Lonchura striata: one gene and its partner. The protein of the gene in region 1 interacts with the protein of each later gene in a biochemical or structural test. Links are inferred from orthologs where the notes say so. Each region holds a gene or a part of one and is shown in the gene's direction. Other genes may lie near its edges.

The links.
Region 2: the proteins of LCAT (region 1) and APOA1 form a complex in vitro, tested with the Homo sapiens proteins (6 studies listed by BioGRID and IntAct, with this or other methods). The link is inferred for Lonchura striata from reciprocal best matches to the Homo sapiens genes LCAT and APOA1.

Annotation. Positions count from the first base shown.
Region 1 is NC_134615.1:16,804,539-16,817,408, forward strand, and holds the start of LCAT (phosphatidylcholine-sterol acyltransferase), read left to right. Parts: upstream 1-8,248; 5' UTR 8,249-8,276; coding exon 8,277-8,424; intron 8,425-10,839; coding exon 10,840-10,996; intron 10,997-11,463; coding exon 11,464-11,579; intron 11,580-11,919; coding exon 11,920-12,015; intron 12,016-12,102; coding exon 12,103-12,327; intron 12,328-12,870. Other genes in the region: C-signal-like, read left to right, coding at 1,138-1,284, 1,642-1,693, 1,899-2,086, 2,402-2,560, 2,918-3,037, 3,256-3,369. UniProt on the Homo sapiens protein: Central enzyme in the extracellular metabolism of plasma lipoproteins.
Region 2 is NC_134625.1:10,337,859-10,348,976, forward strand, and holds APOA1 (apolipoprotein A-I), read left to right. Parts: upstream 1-6,688; 5' UTR 6,689-6,769; intron 6,770-6,879; 5' UTR 6,880-6,890; coding exon 6,891-6,933; intron 6,934-7,117; coding exon 7,118-7,271; intron 7,272-7,354; coding exon 7,355-7,952; 3' UTR 7,953-8,199; downstream 8,200-11,118. Other genes in the region: serine/threonine-protein kinase SIK3, read left to right, coding at 2,607-2,770, 3,408-3,540, 3,635-3,792; APOC3 (apolipoprotein C-III), read right to left, coding at 8,636-8,732, 8,884-9,010, 9,117-9,174; APOA4 (apolipoprotein A-IV), read left to right, coding at 10,854-10,902, 11,041-11,118. UniProt on the Homo sapiens protein: Participates in the reverse transport of cholesterol from tissues to the liver for excretion by promoting cholesterol efflux from tissues and by acting as a cofactor for the lecithin cholesterol acyltransferase (LCAT).

The DNA of each region.
Region 1 (12,870 bases):
TTCTGGGCAGCCTGGAAGAGGCACAGCCCTGCCAGCACAACTCAGGGAGTGGGCAGGCAGGAGAGGAGACATTTCATAACCACAAAATGTCTGTGCAGGTGGGAAATGGGACTTGGTCCTGTGACAAAGCATCCACATGACCTGCTGGGAAGGCTCAGTCCTGCCTGCTGCTGTCCCAGTCTTTGTGCTTCTGCCTGGGAGAACCAGGCAGGGGGTGGGTGGCTGGGGCTGGGGGTGAACCATGGGCTCCCTCCCCTCCATGGGCACCGTGCCTGGGACAGCATCTCCAGCTCCTCCCCTGGCACCTCACCTTGCTGGCCCAGTACGGGTACATGGGAGCCTCTGGGACGTGGAGGCACAGCCCGATGGAGCCCAGTTTGGAGGAGATGTTGATGACAGCAGCCCTGCTGCAGCTCAGACCCTCCTTTCCTGCCTTTGCTGCCTGCTCCAGGAGTGGCAGAAATTCCTGATGCAAGGACACAGATGCTGCATGAAGATGTGCCAAGCCTGCAGTTTGTGTCTTGCTGGAGTGCAAGGCCAGCAGCTGGTGTTGTGCTGGCCATGCAGGTGCCCATCCTTCTGCCAGGAGTCTGAATCCTCTGGGTTTGCTTCCCTCCATGGGAGCCTTGTTTCACTTGGCAATCAGGGAATGGGCATTGGCTTGGAGGAGGTCAGACCAAGGCAGAGTGTCTGCTTGTGGCCATGTGAGGAATGTCCTGGCCAAGGGGACCAGGGCAGGGGGATGAGATCAGTCTGTTCCCAGTCTTGTGTAGGTCTGATGCAGAAAGTCCTTGTGAAGGTGTCAAGCCCAAGTGAGCCCTGGAGCTTCCCACATCCTTTCCATATGCTGCTCCTTCCCTCCTCACCCACAACATCCTCTCCTGGCTTATGACACTAGGTTTTCCAAGGACAGCAGAATTTGTCTGAAACCACCAAGGGGTTTTGCCCTTTGGAAGCAAAGACTGGCTCCCAGCCAGGATCAATGTCCAGGAGTTTGAAAGGCAGGTACAGTTGCTCCTCCTGGATCCAAGGGTTGGTGTAAACCCTAAGTGGGTGGGGTGCCAGTGGAAAATGCTAAAAGGAAATATTAGGGAGCAGAGCAAACAGTGAGAGCTGGAGCAGGGGAGGACAAGCAGCATGGCAGGGCTCCACGTCCGCTCACTTCTGGTGACTGGGGCCAACCGGGGACTCGGCCTGGGGCTCGTCCAGCATTTCCTGAGGATGCCAAACCCACCTCAGTGGATCTTTGCGACCTGTCGGGACCCCAATGGACAGAGAGCACAGGTGAGGTCAGACTGGGAGGCAGTGACTGTGCTGGGGGATGGGAGCACTCGGTGTCAGGGGGAGATTGGAATAGGGATGGTGTTTGCAAGGGCAGGAGCTTCAGCTGGGCACCTGGGGCACAGGGCACCTGGGCTGAGACAACGTGGGAGCAGTTGTGCATGGGACGTGTGGAGGGGACAGTGGTACTTGGTCATGGAGTCCTCCCAATCCGTCGGGTTCAGGGCAGCTGGAGCAAAGCATGGGGTCCATGGTAGTGCAGGGATAGAGCCAGATCAATGTGGGCTTTGCCTGGGGAAGGCTGAGCCTCTGCACAGCCCCTCCAGCCTCTCCATGCCTACACAGTGCCCTCTCTTTCAGGAGCTACAGAATTTGGCTTCCAAGCACCCCAACATCATCATCATCCCGCTCGGTAGGTGCCCCGAGGTGAGGATCCTTTGCCCCAGTTCCTCTGGCAAGTGCCCAGGCTGGGCACACCCCGGGAGCCCCGTGCTGGGCGGGAGCTGTGCCAACGGGCCGGTGCCGGCGGCGCCATCGGGCACTGCCACCTCCGGAGGAACAGAGGGGACTCCACCATGGGAACGCAGGCTCTGACCTCCCCTGTGTTGGCTCTGCAGAGGTCAGCGACCCCACCAGCATCAAGGCAGCTGCAGCCAAGGTTGGGGAGCACTTGGGGGGCTCTGGGCTGAACCTCCTCATCAACAATGCTGGAATTGCAAAGCCAAACTCCCTTGATAATGAGACACCAGAGGATATGATCCAGGTTTACACCACCAACACGGTTGGACCCCTGCTGATGGGCCAGGTGAGTCCCCAGCACTCCAGCACAGCTCCAGAATAATCCCTTCCCATGTCATCAAACTGGACATTACAGAGGGATGGAAGGACCAGTAGAGGGGCTCCTGTCAGTGCTCTGGTGCCCCGATGTGCTCTCAGTCGATGAGAAGCTCAGGGAGCCATGGGCTGGAGCTCAGGAACTGGAGCCAGCCAGGCTGGGGCACTGGGAAAGAGGAGGGAGGATGCCTCAGTGCTGGTGTCAGTGCTGCCCAGTGTGGAAGGAGCTTCTCCCCTGCCCTGTGCCATGTCCATGTGTGCTTCTGTCCCCTCTGTCTCCTCGCAGGCGTTTCTGCCCTTGCTGAAGAAGGCTGCCCAGGGGAGCCCAGGCTCAGAGCTGAGCTGCAGCAAGGCTGCCATCATCAACATGTCCAGCTATGCAGGCTCCATTGAGGACATGTATGTGTGGGATTTTGGACAAATTGTCTCGTACCGCTGCAGCAAGGTACTGCCAGATTTTACTGGGGGTGAGCCCAGACATTTTTCCTTGCAAATGATCACGCTGCCTTCCAGCCTCCCACTCAGGCTGTGCCCCTCTCTATGCTGTGGCTGATCTCCTGTCAGTCCCTGAGTGCCCATCACAGTTCAGTTTTGTGCCTGGCCCTGGGTCCTACCTCAGAGGGACACGATACAATGGGACTTCATCTAGGCTGGGCATCCACACAGGGATGGTGAGGGGGCATCGTGTACCCCAGGACGTGGCCCCCTCTGCCCAATTCCTGCCCCAGCTGTGGGGTCTGCACATGTTCCCTGGCAGCCCCCTTTCCCCTTCCACTGCTGTCTCCTCCCTGTCTCCCTACAGGCTGCTCTGAACATGCTGAGCAGGTGCCAGTCTCTGGCGTACAAGGAGCACGGCATCCTCTGCGTGGCTCTCCACCCCGGCTGGGTGCAAACTGACATGGGGGCCGGAGGCTCATATAAGGTGAGACATCTCCTGTCCATGGTCTGGGAGAACCTCATCCTTTAGGAATGGAGAATTTGCTGGGGTCTCATGCTGGGCTGTGTGAGAGCTCCTGGGCAGATACCCTGGAGGCACAGGAGGGAGGGAGATGACTGACTGGGAATGCTTCTTGCCCAGAGCAATGATGTGTTTCAGGGTAGGCCCCTGAGCACAGAATTGTTTCTCTCTCTGCCCCACAGCCTCCCCTGACAGTGGAAGACAGCGTGCAAGGGATGCTGAAGGTGCTGTCCTCCATCTCTGAGAAGGAGACTGGGGCTTTTCTGGACTGGGAAGGGAAGGTCATGCCCTGGTGAGGCGCTGATCCAGGATTCTGACTGTGAGGACTTTTGCTGCTGCACCATGTTCTACCTGTCCCTTAGTAAATGACTGTCCACAAACAATAAGTAGCACTGTGTGAGCCTCCTTCCCTTGATCTTCTACTGACTATCACTGAGAGAGTCCTCACTGGTGCTTTGAGAGTTCTCAGTTATTTCTGCATATCATTGAGCTAGGTTGGTCTGAACATTTGTTCTTGTTTAACTGGGGACCTGGACACCATCCTGATAGGAATTTGTCCCTGGGCTCACCCCAGAGGTGTCTCTCAGAATGGCAGCACCACCCTACAATGCCTCAGGCACTCCTCCCAGCGAATCCTTTCTCGTTTGTCAGTTCAAAGTCCAAGCAGAGCACTGCTCATCATTAGCTCCTCTACCACACAGGTAAGGAAGCAAAACCTGACATGATCTTTCTGGCTTGCTTATGCCCTGCTGTGTTCCTCCAGCACAGATCAAGATAGCCAAAAACACCCATGAAGACAAGGTCCTCAAATGGGAAATCTGTAAGTGTATGCTTGAGCCCTCTCAGGGATGGGAACCTATTCTGTGTTCCTGTTAAATCCTGTCTGTACCTCTCTTCTTGGCAGCTCTGCTCCCTGTTCCAAGCTGGTCTGTGGAGGCAGGACAGGCTCTTGGTGTTGTATAAATTCCATGGGGCACACGTGGCACTGGAGGCTCTGTGATGAGCAGAGGTGCCCACAGGTCCTCTGGGACTCACCATGGGGCTGATGGGGTCCAAGGGGACACCAGGGATCCCCCACTGTATGTCCTGTGGTGCATGGAGGGATGGGGAGGAGGCAGCAGTGGGATGGTCCCCAGGGGACTCTGGGCTGCCTTGGATGTGGAGCAGGGAGCTCTCACCCCCACTGAGCCCAACCTGCACCAGGGCCAGGAGCAGCAAATGCACCTCTGGAGTTACCAAAGTGCAGTTCTGAAGGCATGAAGCTGGGGAGGAAACACGAAGGATCATCATCAGGCAGGGGAGTGGCAGTGGAACCCTGGGGATGCTGGATAACAGGCCAGGGACATTCTGGATTACACAGACCTCCCTTCTGTTATCCTTCCCACAGCACCACTCAGCTCCCCATGGAGATCTTTGTGCCATTTGTTGCATTTTTAGCTGAATTCCCTCAAATTTGTTGTATCGCACAGGACGCTAAAATTAATTAATTAATTCCTCACCTCTTGTACCACTTAGATTTAGCTGAAATTATTCTAACCCCGACTTTGCTGTACTGTAGGATGATGGCCCCACTGCACGAGGCTGTCCTTTGCAGCAGTCTCATTTCCTGGGTGCCATGCCAGCACTGCCAGTGATTTGCACAATTTAGGGCCCCACTCCAGATTGCCAAGGCTCTGAGCAGCAGCACCCGAGTCCATCTGTAGCCTCCTTAATTAAACTGATTTGTCGGCCAGGCTGTGCTGGGTGTCCCTGCCGTGGGAGGGGACAGCGTGGGGACTTTGCTGGCAGCAGGAGCTGCTCTGCTGTGATCATACAGGGCTCAGTACTCTGCGCTGTGGCCGCAGCAACCTCGGTTTGAATCCGAGTCACAGCAGCTTTTGTCCAGAGCCGGTGGTCCGAGAGGGACCAGACTCACACCGACAATGATTTCCTGACCTGCAGTCACTGTGCAGGGTCTTCCCAGTGAGGCTGCAATGACATTTCTGGGAAAGCGCTCCAGCTTCTCCATTTTCTAGGCAAACTTGAGAATTTAGAGGAATTTGCTCAGCCTTGCACGTTCTGCTTCATCACAGTTTTGCAGAAAGAGGACCAGAAGTAGCTGTGGGGGCCCTGCAGAGTGAGAGGAGGGGGAGGCAGCAGCTTGCTCAGCTCCCGGCTCCCAGGTATGAAGGGTCTGCCACAGCAGAAGAAGGAAGATTACCAGATGAAAGTCCTACTGCTAGCACTCCCTGCTCCAGGAGAGCAGGATTTTGGTTGCAGGACCTCCAGGGATGGAGCAGAAGCAAAACCCACCCAGAAGTGAGGGATGACCCTGACAAAATGTAGGTCTGGGAACCCGAGGTCTCACGGGCACCAAGAAGCAGATGGAGATCTCTGGGTGCACCAAGAGATGCTTCAGCCTGGGGAAGCCTCTTAAACTGCTGCCTTTACCCTTCTGGAGCCTTAATGGAGTTCCCCCGTTTGCTTGGACTTGGTGCCCTCTCCTGACAGCCGCCAGAACTCACTCTGGTGGCAGCTTTCCAAGGAGGATTTACACGAGGTGCGGCGCAGGCTGCTGGCGGCGGAGGCACCGCCCAAGCAGAGGGTCTCAGCCCACCGCCCCGGGGCTCCTGCGAGCAGCAGGACGCTGCAGAACTCAGGCAGATGGGTTCATGCGTCTGCAGGGCTGCTGCTTGGGAAAAGGAGAGGGTGGGTTTCTTTTTTTCCTAGCACAAAATAGATTTATTTTCTTTCGTATCTTATCGAGAGTAAGAAATTTAAGGAAAAAAAAAAATCATTACACATTTACTTTTAGGATTTGCAGTTTATAGGTCACTTACTTGTGTGACTTCACACTCCTCCAACATCCATTTACTGAAAATATATATCTCTTTACTTAGGGAAAGCTCAAAAAGCATGTCCCTTCTAAAGATAAAATAGGAGGAAGAGAAGGCAAACATCTGGAGAAGTCGCTCATTAGCAGCAGCAGTGCCTGCCCCACTTTTACCCAAGGAAATACATAACTTCTCATTCCTCTTTTATTTTTTTTTTTCCACAGAAAGTCAGTGTGATGTGTAAGGCCACTAAACTTACCTGAAAAATAATTTACTGTGCTTGAACAACTGATGTATGCTCAAGTTGAAAAACATTTTAAAAATTTGCTAAGGACAGGGAGTATTTTTCATCCAAAATTGCTTGAATTTCTGTTAAAAGAGTTTCTATTTTGCAAAAATTTCCTGAAGTGTCTATACACCTACAGCACTGTCCAGGGTTTGACTGAGACAGTGTGGTTGCCCCACAGGTCACTGCAGCCTCTTCTCTCACAGGAGCTGTATTCCCTTAAAGTGGCGCAGGGCTCTGCTGGGAAATTTCTGCTCATCATGCTCCCAGTGAAAAAAGGGTGTCCTGATGTTCAGCTGGAGCCTCCTGTGCTCCAGTGTGTGCCCATGGCCCCGGCCCTGAGCACCATGAACAGAGCCTGGCTTCCCTCCCACGAGAGATGCTCCAGTGCCTTCAGTATCTTCATGGAGATTGTCAAGCAGAAAAAAAAACAGCTGCCAGCAGGAACCCAAACGTTAACAACACTGCCTGACGTCGCTTGGGGAAGGAACCCGAGCACTGAGGGAGGGAGCAGCGGAAAGCAAAATTCCCTGCACCAGTTGCCCCGGGAAGGACCGACCTGGGCAGGACGCGATGCCGCCCCTGCCCATGGGCTCCTAAAGGATAAAGCCACCGCCTGAACAGGGGCTTGAACCCTGGACCCTCAGATTAAAAGTCTGATGCTCTCCCAGCTGAGCTATCCAGGCTCACATTTGGGCAGGGGGTGCAGGTCTGTCATAGGTGGGGCACCCCGCTCTCCTCAGCTTGCAGGGACAATGCGGGCACCCTCTCTGCTATTCCCCGCTCCCCCAACGAGGCTCCCAGCGCAGGCCAGACTGAACCCGGGCTCTGGGAATGTCCCTGGGCGCTGAGCGGGCACAGGGATGCGCCCTGGGAAGATGCCGCTGCCGCAGGGATGCGGGGCAGGGAGAGGAGCAGGAGCTGCGGGAGCGGCTGTGAAACCTCCCCGCTCCCCGAGGGAGGCAGGAGGGCCCCGCGGGGACGGGAGAGCGGCGGCTGCGGCCGGTCGGGCTCCGAGCTCTGCTCTGGGGCTGCGGCAGCCTCGGCTCCATCGAGCCCCAGCGGCGCTTTGCAGGAGCCGCGTTAGAGCGGAGCGAGGGAGGCTGCGGGAGCCGGGCCACCGGGACACGGAGCCGTGGGGCACCTACAGCTGCCACCCACATACTCCACTGCCCTTCCTCCCCATTCCTCAGGAAGGGCCCTTTTGCTCTATAGGGAGCCCACCCTGTCAGCCAGCCCACCCACCAGTGCCCTATAGCATCCCTGTCCCACGTCACACTTCCTGGGAGAAGAAGACAATCTTCCCTTCAGCAGGACAATATGATTTTGCCCCATCCTTTCAAGTGTTCAAGGCCACACTGGATAGGGCTTGGAGCATCCTGGTCTAGTGGGAGGTGTTCAAATCCCATGGCAGGGGTTTGAAATGAGATGATCTTTAAGGTCCCTTCCAGCCAGAGCATGAACCCAGTGCAGGCTGGAGCTGCAGGGACTTCCCCCAGCTGGGACTGTCACTGGGGCCTTCCAGTGGATACTGGGAGGATGCTGCACGGGGTAGGGGCAGTGCCCAGGATGGCACTGGGGAACGTGGCACTGCCATGTGTCACAAAGAGCTGCCCAGATGTGTTCTTTTCCTATCCCAACCCCTCCATCTTCTCCCAGATACCTGGGGCCACCTGGCCATGCTGGCAGCACCATCATCCTCGGCCAGGGGCAGGAGGAGTGGAGAGAGGCTGTGTTCACCAAGGCAGGGAGTGAGCATTACCCCTAGAGAACCATAGAGGGGCAAGAACGTGGCAGCCACCTCCCCAGAACATGGCAAAGGGACACTGAGGCACTGGGAAGCTGCTCAAGCTGAGTGCAGCACCCCTGAGCAGGGTTCTCGGGGCCCTAAGAACCCCCTGGCGCTGCTGCACTGGTTTTGACAGGCCATGGTTTGTCCATAAGGCCAGTCCTTCGTCCCTCCCCGTCCCTCCTCCTCCTCGTGGCCAGCCCCTTGCAGCTCTCCCCTCCCCTGCAGCCCGGGTGCCTCTTGGCCGGACCTGTGTAGAAATTATAAAAGGCTGCTTGGCTCGGAGCCGTGCGGAGGAGCCCGGCCGAGCCTGCCATGGGGAGCAGCGGCGCCGGGGCTGCGCTGCTGACGCTGTCGCTGCTCCTGCAGCCCACGTCCCAGTTCTGGCTCTTCAATGTCCTCTTCCCACCCACCACCACGCCAGAAGCTCCCCCGACGAACAGCACGCCGCCCGTGGTGCTGGGTAAGGTCGCGCAGCGCGGGCACCGTGCGGGCCGTGGGTGGCAGCTCTGGCTGCCATGCAGCCCCCAGGACACACAGGGAGCCGGGGCTCCCGTGCCACTGGTGGCTCAGTGGGGTCTGGCTGAGATGGGTTTTACCTGTCTGGGTTGGAGCCACCAAGTGAGGGTGTCACACAGCTCCTCATCCCACACCATCCACTGGGATAGGGACACAGGGCTGGCCATGCCCAGGTAGAGCTTTTTGGAGCTGAGGGGATAGACTGGGCGCCCCAGAAAGCAAATGGGTCTCTGGTATCTCACAGCTGGCCCATGGAATGTTTTAGGGCTTGTTTGTGTCTGGGGAACTCAGAGGGACAGGGGCTGCAGCACAACCTCTTCTGCCGCTTCCCAAACAAGCTGCCATTGGTGCTGGGGATGGACCCACCATCTCTCACTTTCCTGAAGCCCACCCCGTCCTGTGTCTTTTTCCACTCCTGGGAGACAGCAGTCGTCCTCTGCTGCTGCAGAAAAGGAGCCATCTCACATCCCATCCAATACGAACTCTGACCTGGGGCAAGCCAGCAGGAGAGGGGCACAGGGAGATTAATGGAGATGTGGGGGCATCATCTCAAGAAGGAAGCAGCCACCATCAGCAGGTGCCTCCGTGCTGCATGGTTCTGCCTTCCTTTGCCCCTGTGCCATCACCAGGCACTTGAGCTCAGGTTTTGCCAAGAAAACTGCTGAGCAGTTGGGGTTTTCCTCCCTTTTCTTGAATCATGATGAGTTTCCCCTTAAAAAAAGAGAAGAGAAAAAGCAGAAGATCCCTCCCTGCTGCAATGCCAAGGGCTGACCCTGTAAACTCCCTTCCCAGAGGCATCAGGGGGCACGGGCCTCCATGTCCTGGGGTGGTCAGAAGACCCGGCTCACTGTCACCACGTGCCTCTATTCAGGATTACCTGTGACAGTCTGGGCATCTCCTTTTGTCCCTGGTGCCAGCCTCAGGCCGTGTCCCACGCCCGGGTGCCCCTTGTGCCACTTGGCTGTGCTTCATTCCACTCAGCATCCACAGTCAACCCATCCCCCTGGGCCGGGCGTCCCGGAAACCCCCAGTGCCCTTGGGACCACTGATAACCCCTCTGCCCTCACAGAACTCCCTTAATAATTACCTAATGTCCTCTGGGAGGGGAGGCAGAGCTCAGAGTTGTGTGCCAGGGGCTGGGGGGTGCTGGCTGTGCACCTTCAGGAGCCTCCAGAGCAGCTCTTGATCCTGTTCCTCTTGCTGACCATCCCTTTGCCTACTCCCTATCAGGGCTCCCCTACATCTGTCTGATCCCCACCCAGGTGCTTTGAAGACAGGATTAGACCCTCCCTGCACCCCTAGGGATGTGCCACAGCATGAAGGAGCTGTGAGGCAGGTTGAGGAAGGTAACTGCTACATCTTCCCCTCTTGCATGGCACAGGGCATTGAAGGTCCACACCAGCCCCAGCCATGTATTGCAGGCAAGTCCTTGGACCTGCTGGGGCCTTGGGATTTGTCACCTGGTGCTCCCATTCCACCAGGTTCAGTGTCCTCTGCAGTCATTCACCTCTTGTCCTCACCGTCACAGTCAGTGCTGGCACCAGCAGCTGGCTCTTGGCTCGGGCACTCGGCTGGGGAAGCTCTCCTTAGTGTCTGAGCCCAGCACAGGCACATCCCTCAGGGCAGCAGCAGGACGGGTGTCCCATCCCTGCTGGGGCCACACTGATGCTCCCACAGGCAGATCAAACGCCCTGGTGTCTGTCACCTTCCACTGAGGCTGGCCAGGGCACAAAAATGAACTTGCTTAAAGCTGTGCTGTGTTTCCTGCACACACCATTTCCAGTGAATTTCTGCTGAGTTGAGTTCCACTCAGCACTGAACCACTTCAGAGACCTTGTTCAGGCTGTATGGAGGGTTTAAAGTTCAGGAAACTCTCCCTGGGAGCTCTGAATCCCTGAACTGACCACTACCCCCAGACAAGCTGTCAGGACTGCATTAGGAATGGGCAGCCCCAAGCAGCACCAATTTCTTCCCCCAGGTTGCAGCAAGGAGAGGAAGGTGAGAACCCATCCAGGGAGGGGGAGCAGTCTAGGATGCTTTGTGCTGCTGGGGACTCACATGTTTGAGCCAAAGGTGACAGCTCTGGGGGTCATCCCATGGAAATGCAGCTCTAGGGGTTCCCAAGGATGCATTTTAGCACTTTTCATGCTCACCCAGCATCTCAGCTCCAAGCATCCTCTCTCCTGTGAGGAGCAGGTGGTTCTCCAGGGATGCTGCTCCAGCAGGTGCCCTGCCATCCCCAGGCAACCCCAGGGGAGCACTGCCTGGGGGGTGGGGTAAGCACCAGGTTGGGCAGCTCCACAGGGTCAGTGGGAGAGGGTTTGTAACTGGCTCTGCTCTCCCTCTGTGGTGCCTCCAGTGCCGGGGTGTCTGGGGAACCAGCTGGAAGCAAAGCTGGACAAGCCAGATGTGGTGAACTGGATGTGCTACCGAAAAACAGAGGATTATTTCACCATCTGGCTCAACCTCAACACCTTCCTGCCAGTGGGAGTTGACTGCTGGATCGATAACACCAGGTACCATCCAACTCTACCCTGGGAGCTCCCTGGGGAAACGACCTACCAAGGATCTCCCTCCCCTCTCCTCCCCCTGGCTATTATCTAGCACACAGGGAAAAAAAATGGGAGGACCATGGGATTGTTTGGGAACACAAGTGACTGGCTACTGCTCTGAGCATCTGTCCCTTTCCCAAATCCTTGCCATGTGCTCAAGCCCAGCCAGAGCACCCTGAGCACTCACTGGAGATGCTGCCACCCTGCCTGGGGCTGTAGGGTGAGGGGGCTGTGGCAGCTGGTTCCATCAGAGCGTCCTGTCCCAGGATGTCAGGAGAGCAGAAGGGACTCTGGCTGGGCTCCAGTGCACCTCACATCCACACAAGGCTTGGGAACAGCCAGGTCCAAGCCACTGCCAGTGATCTCCATCCCAGCCCTGTGTTCTCCATGGGGACATGGCTCTTCTGCCACTTCCTGTCCTGTCCCCACAGGGTGGTGTACAACCGAACCTCTCGGAAGATGTCCAATGCCCCAGGGGTGCACATCCGTGTTCCTGGCTTTGGCAAGACCTATTCTGTGGAATACCTGGATCAGAGCAAGCTGGCAGGTGAGAGGAGGAGAGGCCAGGGTGTCTGGGGATCCCATGTGCTCCCTGCAAATGGGGAGGTGTCCCCATGTCTCCAGCAGGGACGGGTTCTGCAGAGAGCTCAGGGCACTGGGGATTAAGGACATTAGCCTGGGGGACACACTCCAGCTGAGTGCTGGCAGGGAGCACCCCATCCTTGACCCAGGACTCCGTGCGATGCGCAGAGTCACGACATCTGGCTGGAGCCACTGAGCCACAGGGCTTACCAGGGAACATTTTGACCCTGACCAGGACCAGAATGGAAAAAGCTTCATGAGAGAAGACCACAGACCTAATTCCCACTTGTTCCCTCTGCCCACAGGCTACCTGCACACCATGGTGCAGAACCTGGTGAACAACGGCTACGTGAGGGACAAGACGGTCCGGGCAGCCCCCTACGACTGGAGGGTTGGACCCCGTAAGTCTGGGGGTTGTGGCCAGGCTCCCCATGCACAGAGGGAAGCAGGATGACCCTCATGCCATCATGCTCCCCTCTTGTCCGCAGAGGAGCAGCCCGAATACTTCCAGAACCTGAAGGCGCTGATCGAGGAGATGCACGATGAGTACCAGAGACCCGTCTTCCTCATTGCACACAGCATGGGCAACCTGCACATCCTCTACTTCCTGCTGCAGCAGACACAGGCCTGGAAGGATCAGTACATTGGGGGGTTCATTTCCCTGGCTGCCCCCTGGGGAGGCTCTGTCAAGCCCCTGCGTATCCTGGCATCCGGTGGGTGACTCCTCGTGTGCAGCCACCTCTTTGTTTTCTTTCCCTCCTGTAGAAATGGGAGGGTGGTAGTGGGCAGGGAAAGGGCACAGTGGTGAAAGAGGTGGGGGACCCAGTTCCTGTTTAGGCTCTTTGCAGCCCAGAAAGCCACAATCACTTGCCTAATGCTGACAGCCCAGAATATCTACAAGTCACAAGTCCAAAAACACATGAGATTAAAAATCATGTGCTTGAATGTTTTAACATCTGGCCCCTTGCATCACCCTTAAGTCACCTGCTAATATTTTTCTCTGTTGCCACAAGAGCCAGAGATATATTTAAGGTCATCTGTGGTCATTCCATGGTCTTAGGACTCCAGACATACCAAAAACTATCAAGGCTTGAAGGAAACGTGCAAGTTGGCCACTTATTACTGCTTACTCCTGTCCCTGCAGGCAGGTGAGGCAGTGCCAGGGTTGCAGGGAATGTTCAGGGCTGGGTTGGTCTGTGCCATCACACATCCGGGCTTGTCTCCACTCAGGCCCTTTGAGCAGATAGAGATGTGGA
Region 2 (11,118 bases), on another chromosome or scaffold:
GGACTCGGGGTGCTGGGCTGGAGCCACCAGCCTGCCCTTGGCACTCGGGCCCTGCTGCAGAGGAGCTGTGTCCAGGGCACAGGAGCCCAGCTTTGTTCAGGGACACAGCACGGGTTTGCTGGGAAAGTACTGGGCTGGAACAGGCTGGCTCGGAGGGCTGAGCGGGGCTGCCAAGCCCTGACCCCCCAGAGCGTGGGCGGGGGGCAGGGACAAGGCTGGGCTGTGCTGAAATCCTCCTAAATTCTGAGTTCTGTTTGCTCTCAGAGCTCTGCTTCCCTGCTGTGCTTGGAGTGGGGGAATTGTCCCAGGCTCAGCAGAGATTGGAAGCTCTGGAGGGGGGTTGGTACGAAATCACGAGTCTGAATCTTGTTACTGAAGCCTGTTAGATGGACAGTGAGGTCTGCTGAAGTCAGAAGCCAAATCTCAGCCCCCACACTGCTGTTGCAAGGACTGGTTACACAAAGGAAAAGGACTTTAGACTGCAAAGCCTTGTAAATGAGTAAAAGCAAATAGATGTTTACAAATAGGCTTGTGTAAGCCCTTCTGACAGGGCTGTTTGTAGTAAACTATGTCCTGGGATGCAACTGTTTGTACCATCTTCCCTATGGCTTCCATAACCCACTTGGACTCAGGCCTGCGCCGCTTTGGGTGCAGGCAGAGTCACCTCAGAGTTTCCCAGGTGCCTTTACCTACAGCAACTCCTACACCCCTGGGCTTTCCTGGTTTTGACCTACACCAAATCCTACATCACTCAGTTTTCCCACTGCTGCCCACACCAAATCCTACATCCCTGGCTTTTCCCACTCTTTTCCCTAGACTGTGTCATGAGGGTGCAGTTTGAGGGTGACTTCCCTCCCTGCCTCAGCTCCCAGATGTTTTCCCTGGAGCAGAGCAGTTTCCCTGTGCCTCGGGAGTGTCTGTGCTCCCCCAAGGCTGATCACAGAGCTCTGGAGGCTGCAGAGCATCTGCCAGGGATGGCAGCCGGGGACTTGAGAGCCGACCAGATCTGTTTGGGATGTGGCTGGGCTGCCTGTGAGCAGCCCTGCTCCAGTTCTGCTCCAGCGTGGCCGTCCCGGGCTGGGAGCGCTGCCCGTGGGAAACCTGCCTGGGCTGGCACGGAGGGAGCCGGGCTGGCCGTGCCAGCGTCACATGCCACGGTGACACAAAGGATGTGGGCATGAAAGGCTCTCCCCTGCAGGCCTGGGGGTGTCAGTTCGGGGTGTCCATCCCTTGCTCCAGAGCAGCATCCCCAGAGGTGAAGTGCTGGCATTGGGAAGCAGCTGTTTTTCAGGCCCTGGCTCTTCCAGGCTGAGGGAACTCGTCACCCGCAGCACAGGGACTGGGACTGGGGCTGTTGGAGCAGCAGGCTGCTGGCCCCAACCACTGTTCCCACAGTTGGAGCAGCATCCCAAGCAGTGTGTGGGTGGCACTGATCCGCTAACATCTGTTACCTCATGTTTTCCTTCTCGCTTTTCCGGGAAAGCTGACTGTTAACCGCACGTAACCCCACGGTTGTGCAAAGGCAGGGGGAGGCTGCACCTCTGAGTGCCCTGGGACAGGGCTCCGGCAGGAATGCCACATTCCTGATGGAGGGAGAGCCTGGGGAGCAGCGTGCTGGCTGTGCTGTCCATGTGCTGGCTGTGAGCAGTGTGGAGACCACATGGGATGGGGTCTCACTTGCATTCTGCTAGATTGTGGACAGATTTTGGGACTGCTCTGTGCAGGGGCAAGCATGATCCTTGTGGGTGCACGTGGGGGTGTTCCAGGGTCCTGTGAGATCCCTCCAGGGAGTGGTTTTGTGGCAGTTGCAGTGCCAGCTGGGCTGTGCAGTGTCCCAGCACAGCAGGACATCACTTCCCACTGGCCAAAGCCCTGGGAAAGCTGTGGCTTTGTGAGGGATGAACCTCAGCTGTGTCACCTCGGGGCAGCTCCCCGGCGCTCGCGGCCGCGTCGGGCGTTTGTGCTCGGCAGGGTCCGAGCTCAGCGAGCTCAGCCCTGGTGACAGCTCCTCCATGGCTCAGGACTTTATCCAAAACATCGTGTACTTGATGATGAGAGGCTTTGCCTGATAGGAATGTGGCCTTTGCCCTCAGTCACAAGAGCTTGCAGTGCAGATGGACTTTGCCAGGCAGAGCACTCGTGTGCTCCCGCAGCCAGATTGTGGGAGGGCAGGGAGAAGTCATCTGATAAAAGTGAAGATCCTGGCCAGCTCTTCCAGCAGGATTCTGTTGCTTACAATTGCCAAGGGGCCCTGCTGGAGCATCCCGTGTTGGAGGCTCCCCCAGCTCTTGTGTAACGATGTGGGGGTCGAGCTCAGGCTCGAGGGGAAGGCAGAAGTGGGAAAGGGTCTGGTTCCTCTGCTCCTGCCCCAGTGCCTCCAGCTTAAGGCTGTTTTGTAGATCTGATGGAAGGCAGCTAGCATTGGGATCGTTTGGGATATTGAAGCTGGAGGGAGAAGCCTGTGTGAGTGCAGCCGGGGGTCCTGTCCCTGCTCTGCCAGCAAGGAGCATTTGTGTGTGCCATCAGGTCTCAGTTCTGCAGTGGCACAGGTGGCTGCAGGTTCCTTGTACTAACCTGTCCCTTTTCTGTCCTGTCTGGCTCTCAAGAGTCCATCGTAGGGAACTGCATGGACAGGAGCTCCCCCGGCCAAGCCATGCAGGTGCCTGACCACAACGGCCTGGGCTACCCCGTGCGCCCCTCGTCCAGCGAGCACCCGCGGCCCCGCAGCCTGCAGAGACATCACACCATCCAGAACAGCGACGATGCCTACGTAGGTGCCTCTGCCTGCCAGCTCCTGCTCTGACACAGCCTGGCCTGGCTGTGCCACCCAGGGCTCTGCAGGCACACCCAGCCTGGCTGTGGAGGAGCTGGCTGTGGTAGCCCAGACCTCAGTGCTCTGCGCCCTCGGGGGTTTGGGGTGCTGGGAAGTGTCCTGCCCAAATCTTGATGTGTGCCTTGCTACAGCTCCCTTCTGCTGTAGATGTCAGCTTCACTGGTTCAGTGGTGCCCAGTGACAGGATGAGGAGCAATGACCAGAAACTAAATCACAAGTTCCACCTCAGCATTAGGAAGGATTTCTTTCCATGGAGGGTGGCAGAGCACTGGAACAGCTGCCCAGGGTAGGGCCTGGAGTCTCCCTCTCTGGAGACATCTGAAAACCACCCAGATGTGTTTCTCTGTCACCTGCTCCCGGTGTCCCTGCTTGGCAGGGCTTTGTGCTGGATGATCTCCTGATCTCCCTCCCACCCCCAGCTATGCTGTGATTCTGTTAGTTCAGAGGGATTTGGACCATTCAGTGCCGTTCTTGTCTTTCCAGAGCCTTGCTGAAGGTTTGCAGAGGCTCTCTGGGTAGATGGGGAGCAGCGGGATCCTGAGCTCCCCCTGAGCGTGTCCTGCTGCCTCCACAGGTGCAGCTGGATAACTTGCCTGGAATGAGTTTGATGGCAGGAAAAGCCCTCAGCTCTGCTCGGATGTCGGACGCCGTGCTCAGCCAGTCGTCGCTGATGGCCAGTCAGCAGCTGCGCGACAGGGACGGCGAGGGTGAGCCCGGGGCTGCCACGGGGCAGGGCTGGGGGCAGCTCCTCTGGAGCTGAGTCACAGCCACAGGTGCTCAGGCACCTCTTCACCCTTCCAGAATGCGGGGAGAGCTTGGAAGGTCAGGAGCACGCGAACCTGGGCGATGGCAGCCAGCACCTCAACACCTCCTGCTACCCCTCCACGTGTATCACGGACGTCCTGCTGAGCTACAAGCACCCGGAGGTGCCCTTTGGGATGGAGCAGGCAGGGGTGTAACCAGGAGGGAGTGAGTATCCCTGTGTCCTTCTCTCGCCACACCACACCACACCTGGGGCCTCACTCCCATGGGTCACCTTCCCTGCTCTTGGCTCCGGTGCTGGGGCTGGGACCATCCGCTCAGAGATCCTGTGCTGAAGCTGTTTGCTGTCCCTCCTTCCAGGCTGGTGTTGCACTCAGACCCCTCTGCATGGCAGGGTCTCTCTCCTGGGGCAGGGTCAGGAATGGCCTGGGAATGCTAGAGGGCTGTGGAAGGAAATGTGCCATTGTGGAGTCCCCTAACACCTGTCTTTTCTCTCTCTCGCAGGGTTTGTGTACAGCTTTGAAATGAAAAGGTCCATTTTAAACCAACAGTATCTAGCAGCATTGCGCCAAATTGCCGTAGTATTTCTGACTAACTGGAATACCATGGCCCCTTTCCTCATCCTCACTTCATCCAGTGTGTCGTTCCTTTGGGTTCTTTATTTCTGCCACACTTGCCTGTAACTCCAGCTACACCCAGAGCCCCGAGCCCCACACGGAGGATCGGCCTGGGCTGGGGCTGCTCTGGGGGCTGGCCCTGCCCGGGGCCCCACGCCGGGCTGAGCGTCCCTGGAGCCTGCCCTGAGCAGGTCTGGGGGGCTGGAGCTGCTCCTGGACGGAGGCCACGCTCTCCTTCCACCCTGTCCCTGTGCCCGGGGGGCTCCGGGCCTGCCAGTGCCTCCCCACCCTGGTGCAATCCACTTCTTGTCTCACCTCTGTCTGCTCTGTTCCCTCTCGTGTGTCGGGGTGCTGACAGCATCACCCCTGCCCTGCCCTTCCTCCCCTTTTCTTTCCAAATCTGCCACGTCTTGGGGTTTTTTCTTTTCCTGGCTAATATAGGGCAGACGGATTTTTCTTTGTTTCCTTCGCTTTTCCTCCTGATCACGTAGGAATTGTTTTTATTTTTATTTTTTTTTGGTAAATGTTGTTTTATTATTATTGTTATTAATAAAAGGCAAAAGGAATTTCTGTTTGAGAGAAATTTTTAACTAGATTCTGTTCTATATGAATTGTGACTTGCACCTTTTGTTCAAAGTATTTTATTTCTTTTAATGACATTGTACTTGTGACTGGTTTTCTCTCGTGCCAGTGGCGACAGTGGTAATTCTCCTTATACAGTCGGGACATGCAGAGGTCTCTTCTTTGTCCCTTTTCCATCCTTTCCGTGGTGGATGGAGCGGGAGGCCCCCCCGGCTGGGGCTCAGGAGCACGCGGTGTCACCCTTGCCTTTGGGACTCGACGAGCTCCAGCTCACATCCTCCTTCTCAGCGACATTTTTTCCGGAATATTTTTTAAAACTAAAGGAAACACCGACCCAGCCCTCCTGACTTTGCACAGAAGGAAGTGTGAAACCAGCACGGCAGAGGTGACTTTGCTGTCCTTACCCCGTGCCTCTTCCCGGCCTCCCCTTCTCCGGGAGAAGGACGCTGAGGGCTCTGCGATCCCGGGATCGGAGAGGAGGGACTCGGCAGCCTCCGGGATGGAGCGGGGAGGCTGGGAAGCGCTGAAAGCCTTTTGCTCTGTCCCTTGGGTTCATTTTCCTTTTGTTTACATGACACTGTATCCTGGGAGAGTCGCCGGGCCCCCCCCAGCAGCAGCTGCCCCGCGGGGCCGCGTCACCGTGCCATCCGCAGTATCACACTTTTTTTATCATGGCTTTGTATTGTAGTAATCAATACGCGCAGTATATGTTGAATGTATATTAATATACTTTGCTATTATTTCTGTTTTTTGGAAATGTCAGAAGTATTTTTTTTTTTTTCTTCCTCATTTATGTTGGACTAAAAACGAACAGGAAAAAAAAATTTTCAGTAAATCTTCAGTCCATTTTTTGTGGGTCACTTGCAACTAGTCAATTAGTTGGACAGTGGGATCATAACAAATAAAACCATGATTATGATCTTCCCTGGGCTCTTGTTTGCCTTGTTGCTCAACACCAAAGGTCAAGGGGCGGCCGCTGCTGTGTCCCATCCATCCCTTTCCCGGGCTCCGGCAGCCCCTGGCTGGGTTTCCCGAAGCCCCCCGGCCCTGGCAGCCCCTGCAGCTGCAGCCCGGCAGTGCTGCAGATCAGAGCCCGCCCGGGCACTGCTGCACTGGGGCTTTTCCAGCCTTGGGCAGGGTCTGGGAGGCGCAGGGAGCTGTGCCTGTGCCCGCAGCACCTGCAGCACCTGCGGTGGCAGCTCCCCTGCGATGCCCAGCGGGCTGGCACGAGCTGCAGGGACGGTGCCACCCAGAACCAGGAGCATCACTGCTCTGTGGCAGCTCCCCCTGGCATTGCCAGCCCTGCACACCCCCTGCAGCCCCTCTGGGGACGCGGCCTCTCTCTCCCTGTCCCCTCTCTCCCCTTGCCAGGCTGGGCTCAGCCCTGTGCACCCCTGGACTGGTGACAATTGCACCCGGGGTTGGCTCGGGGTTTTGGGGCGGCCGTGCCAGTGCTGGTGCTGCTCTGAGCTGAGCCTTGCCTTGCCCAGGTCCCCGGCGAGGGCTGGCGTGGGCGCAGCTCCCCGGGCCTCTGAGCTGGGGGCACAGCGGGCAGAGGGGGTGGCGTGAGCGGCCCCGTGAAGGACGGGGCACAGACCCGCGGCCCGAGCGAGGGGTCCGGGTACGGCAGGCCAAATCCCTGCGGGAATAAACCTTGTCCCCGGGCCGGCGGCCAATCCCTGGGGGCTGCGAGGGGCCCCGGCAAGGCCAGCGGGAATCTGGGTCACCGGGAGCGTAAACAGCTCCTTGGCCGGCGAGGCGCGTCCCGCGGGGAGCTCCTGTTTGCTCGCCACCCCTGCCAAGCCCGGCTCCGCGGCGATGCTGCGCGATCCTTGAACCCTGCGGCCACACCGCCCGCCGGGAGCGCGGCCCGGCCGCCGCTGGCTTATCTCCGCGGAACTGCCCCTCCGGCATAAATAGCGGCGGCGGAGCCCGGCCGCTCAGACGGGACGAGCAGCAGCGGTGGAGAGAGCCGGTAAGAGCCCGGGCTGCTCGGCGGGAGCGCCGGAGCCGGGCCGGGCTCAGCCCCGCCGGGGCTGGCTCTGCCGGGGCTCCCCGCGCCCAACTCTCTCGCTCTGCCCGCAGGTCCAGCCAAGATGAGAGCCGCGGTGTTGACCCTCGCCCTGCTCTGCCTGGCGGGTAGGTCCGGCCGGGAGGGATGCAGCAGCGCGGGCGGGATGGGGACGCGGGCGCTGCTGGAAGCCGCCGCTTTCCGAGGCGCTTCGCGAGCCGCGCTGCAGCCGAGGGGCTCCCGGGCCCCTCCCGGCGGGGCTGGAGCCGTCCCCGGGCGGCGTGTCCTGAGCAAACCCGGCGCTCCCCGCAGGCACCCAGGCCCGCTCCTTCTGGCAGCACGATGATCCCCAGGCACCCCTGGATCGCCTCAAGGACATGGTCGATGTGTACCTGGAGACAGTGAAGGCCAGCGGCAAGGAAGCCATTGCCCAGTTCGAGGCCTCCACCGTGGGCAAACAGCTGGAGTAAGTGGGAGGTGTGCGGCGGGGGGCTGGCGGGGGGCCCCGGGCACCGAGCGTGACCTCCCTCCCTCCCTCCCGTCCCGCAGCCTGAAGCTGGGCGAGAACCTCGACACGCTGGGCGCAGCCGCCGCCAAGCTGAAAGAGGACATGGCCCCCTACTACAAAGAGGTGCGGGAGATGTGGCTGAAAGACACCGAGTCCCTGCGCGCCGAGCTGACCAAGGACATGGAGGAGGTGAAGGAGAAGATCAAGCCCTTCCTGGACCAGTTCGCTGCCAAGTGGACGGAGGATCTGGAGCAGTACCGCCAGCGCCTGGCACCCCTCGCCCAGGAGCTGAAGGAGCTCAGCAAGCAGAAGGTGGAGCTGCTGCAGCAGAAGCTGACCCCGGTGGCCGAGGAGGCGCGGGACCGTCTGCGCGGGCACGTCGAGGAGCTGCGCAAGAACGTGGCGCCCTTCAGCGATGAGCTGCGGCAGAAACTGAGCCAGAAGCTGGAGGAGATCCGCGAGAAGGGCATCCCCCAGGCCGCTGAATACCAGGCCAAGCTGGTGGAGCAGCTCAGCAACCTGCGCGAGAAGATAACGCCCCTGGTGCAGGACTTCAAGGAGCGCCTCACCCCCTACACCGACACCCTCAAGGCCCGTTTCCTCAGCATGCTGGAGGAGCTCCAGAAGACCGTGGCCTGAGCTGCCGGCCGGCGCGGCCAGGGACTGACCCCAGCCCCGCTCCGCGGCCGCCCCGGGCGCTCCCTGCCCTGCCCCGGGCACCTCTCCTCAGGGGGCTCTGGGGACGGGCTGCAGGAGCCCCGGGCCGGCCCGGCCCTGGGGTGCCCTCCCCGGAGACCCCCTCTTCCCCTAGAATTGCCTCCCCACCCCGGCGTCGCTCTCAGCTTTGCCTCCCTTTTGAGAAATAAACTTGACTTAAGTTATTGGAGCTCGCTCAGTCTTTGCAGTGGATGCTGGAGGGGGCAAGGGGTGCTCTGAGCTGGGGGTACTGGGGACCAGAGGGAGTGGGGACCCAAGGGAGCTGGTGAGGGGTGCCCTGGGCTCGCCGAGTCCAGCTCTGCCCGAGGTGCAGCCGTGCTCAGCCCCACACAGGGCGCTGGGGTATGGTGGCACTGAATTTGCAGGAGTTTTTGGAAACAAGCACTCGGCTGCTGTCACCCCGAGCACCCCAACACGGCCGTGTGTACCCCAGTGCTCGCGTCCGCCCCAGCCCGGTCCCCCTGCGGGTCACACTCCTCCCTGCCAGCCCCCAGAGACGGCACCGCAGCGTTTGCCTCAGCCCTGCTTTATTGAGAGCACCACGACAGCGGGGGGGAGCCGGGGGGTCCCCGGCCCCGACAGACCCCGAGCAGCCCCCGGTGAGGCTACGCGGCCGGAGTCTTCTTCAGCAGCTCCGCCAGCTGCTCCTTCAGCCACGCCAGCCGCTGCTTCGCCAGCTCCGCGTTGTCCGACAGCCACTGCCTGCAGGGGAGGGAGGGGAGGGAGGGCAGGGGAGGGGAGGGGAGGGGGTCAGCGCGGGGCCCTGGCCGGGCTCCCCGGCGGCACCGGGGGCAGGGACGGGCACAGGGAGGGGCACAGGGACAGGGACGGGGCTGGCGGGGTTCGGGAGCACCTGGCCTGCTTTGCCGCCTCCGACTCCCGCACCCTGCTGAAGGCGTCCTTGGCCATGGCCGTGGCTTTCTGGGTCAGCTCCTGCACCTTCTGCACCAGCGCCTTCGGCTCCTCGGGCGAGTCGGCCCCTGCGAGCACGAGCCTGGTGGCACTGGGGGCACGGGGTCCCGCGGCTGTGCCCCCCGCGTGTGCCCCCAGCACCCCGAGCCCTCCTGCGCAGCCCCCGGCCCTTACTTGCTCCCACCGCCAGGACGGCCGTGCAGGCGAGCAGGAACAGCAGCGACGCCTTCATGGCTGGGGAGAGAGCGGACCGCGCGATGTGGGGCAGCAGGGGGGCACGGGGGTCCCGTGCCCGCCCCCCGCCCCGCGCTGCCCTCGCCAGGGGTGTCCCCGCTCACCTGTGCCGGGCTCACCTGTGCCTATGGCGCGGGGGCAGCCCCGGCTCCCTCTTTATACCCTCCCGACGGCCGCGCTGGGGGATTCGTGCAAAGGTCGGGGCAGGGCGGGGGGGGCTGCAGGGGCGCCGCGTCCGGCCAGGAGTTGGGAAATCCCGGGGGGACGGAGCCCGCCGGGGGGACGGAGCCCGCCGGGGGGACGGAGCCGCCGGGGCCCCGCGTGTCTCTGCGTGTGCGCACGGAGCTGCGCGGCCGCGGGCACACGCGTGTGCGCAGCCAGCGCGCTGCCCGCGGAGGGGACAGCCCGGGCACGCACGGCACAAGGGTGACATCCAGCGGCCCTGTCCCCGGGCACGCCGCCCTCGGGCACCGCGAAGCTCTTCGGACCTTGTCACTGCCGCTGCCTGCCCGGTCCCTGCCCCTGCCCGCCGTGCCCTTTGCCCGCAGTGACACATCGCCGCTGTCCCCGGGCCGGGGACACGCACGGGTCCCAGCTGCATCCCCAGCTGCACTGCCCTGCAGCGTCCTGGCCCCTTCCTGTGGCAGGCCTTCCTCCAGGAGCGATGCCATCGTGCCTGCACAGCCTCGTGTGTCCCCCTGGGCCCTTGTCCTGCCCCCGAGCCCGTGTCCTGCCCCGCTGCCCAGCCCAGCCGTGGCAGAGCTGGGAGGGCCCTGCAGCATCCCCAGCCCCGTGTCCTGTCGCGTTGCCCCCATCCCACACCCCTGCCAGCACTGACAGAGCCACTGCTGCAGCCACAGAGCACTCAGGTGTTATAGGTAAAAATGATCAAGCTGAATTGAATAATTAATAAAATAGATTTTTATTTCGCGACTGAGATGGCCACAATCAAAAGGTCAGTGCCGAGCCCGGGGATCTTCGGGGAGTTACTGGAATTTGGCATTGAGGTGAGTTTTCTTGATGGCTCTGGCTATCTCAATCCGAGATATTTATCGAACATTCATCATCTGGGTGCCCATCTCCTTGCGAGCCACATTTATTCGCTTGCAAATTAGATCCTTTTCTCCCTGCTGCCAGCTGGGTTTCGAAATGCCGTGAAGCAATCTTCGTCTTCCCGGCCTGAGTGCTTAAGAGAACTTACAGGAATGTTTCTAATATATTTCATATGTCTCTTTCTCATATGCCCGAATTATTCAAAATACACGTAACAGAGGTGTCCCCTCAGCCCGGGTCCCTGTCCCCAGGAGGGGCTCGGCGTGTCCCGGGTACCCCCACCCCGTGTGTCCCTGTCACACCCTGGGGGCTGGCGGGGCCGCGGGTGATGTCAGGCGCCTCCACGTTGTGATCGTGCTAAAGTCCAAGCCCTTGCTGTGTCACAGCCTGCGTGGAAGCTGCAGGAGCGCTCGGGCTGCATAAATAGTGCTGGGAGCTGCCGGCTCGGCAGGTACCGCGGCACTGGCAGCACAGGTGAGCGGCTGCAGGCGCTGGAGGGAGCCGGGAGGGAACCGGGAGGGAGCCGGGAGGGAGCCGGGTCTCCCTGGCCTTTGGCTGGGGGCTGCTGGTCCCTGCGGCTTCCTTCACCTCTCTGTGCTCCCGCAGGAGTCCCCAGCACTCAGGATGGCGCCCAAGGCGGCCGCCCTTGTCCTGGTTCTCCTTGCGATCTCAGGTGAGGTGGGGTCTCGGTGAGGTGGGGCGAGGCTGCCCGGTGCCAGCGGGGTGCTGCGGCCCGGGGCGGTGACGGGAACGTCCCCGCTGTCCCTGGGGACCGGGACGGTGCGAGCGCTGACCCCAGCACCCCCTGCAGGCTCGCGGGCCGATGTGAAGCCTGACGAGGTGGCCAGCGTGATCTGGAAGTACTTCACGGAGCTGGGCAGCAATGCCA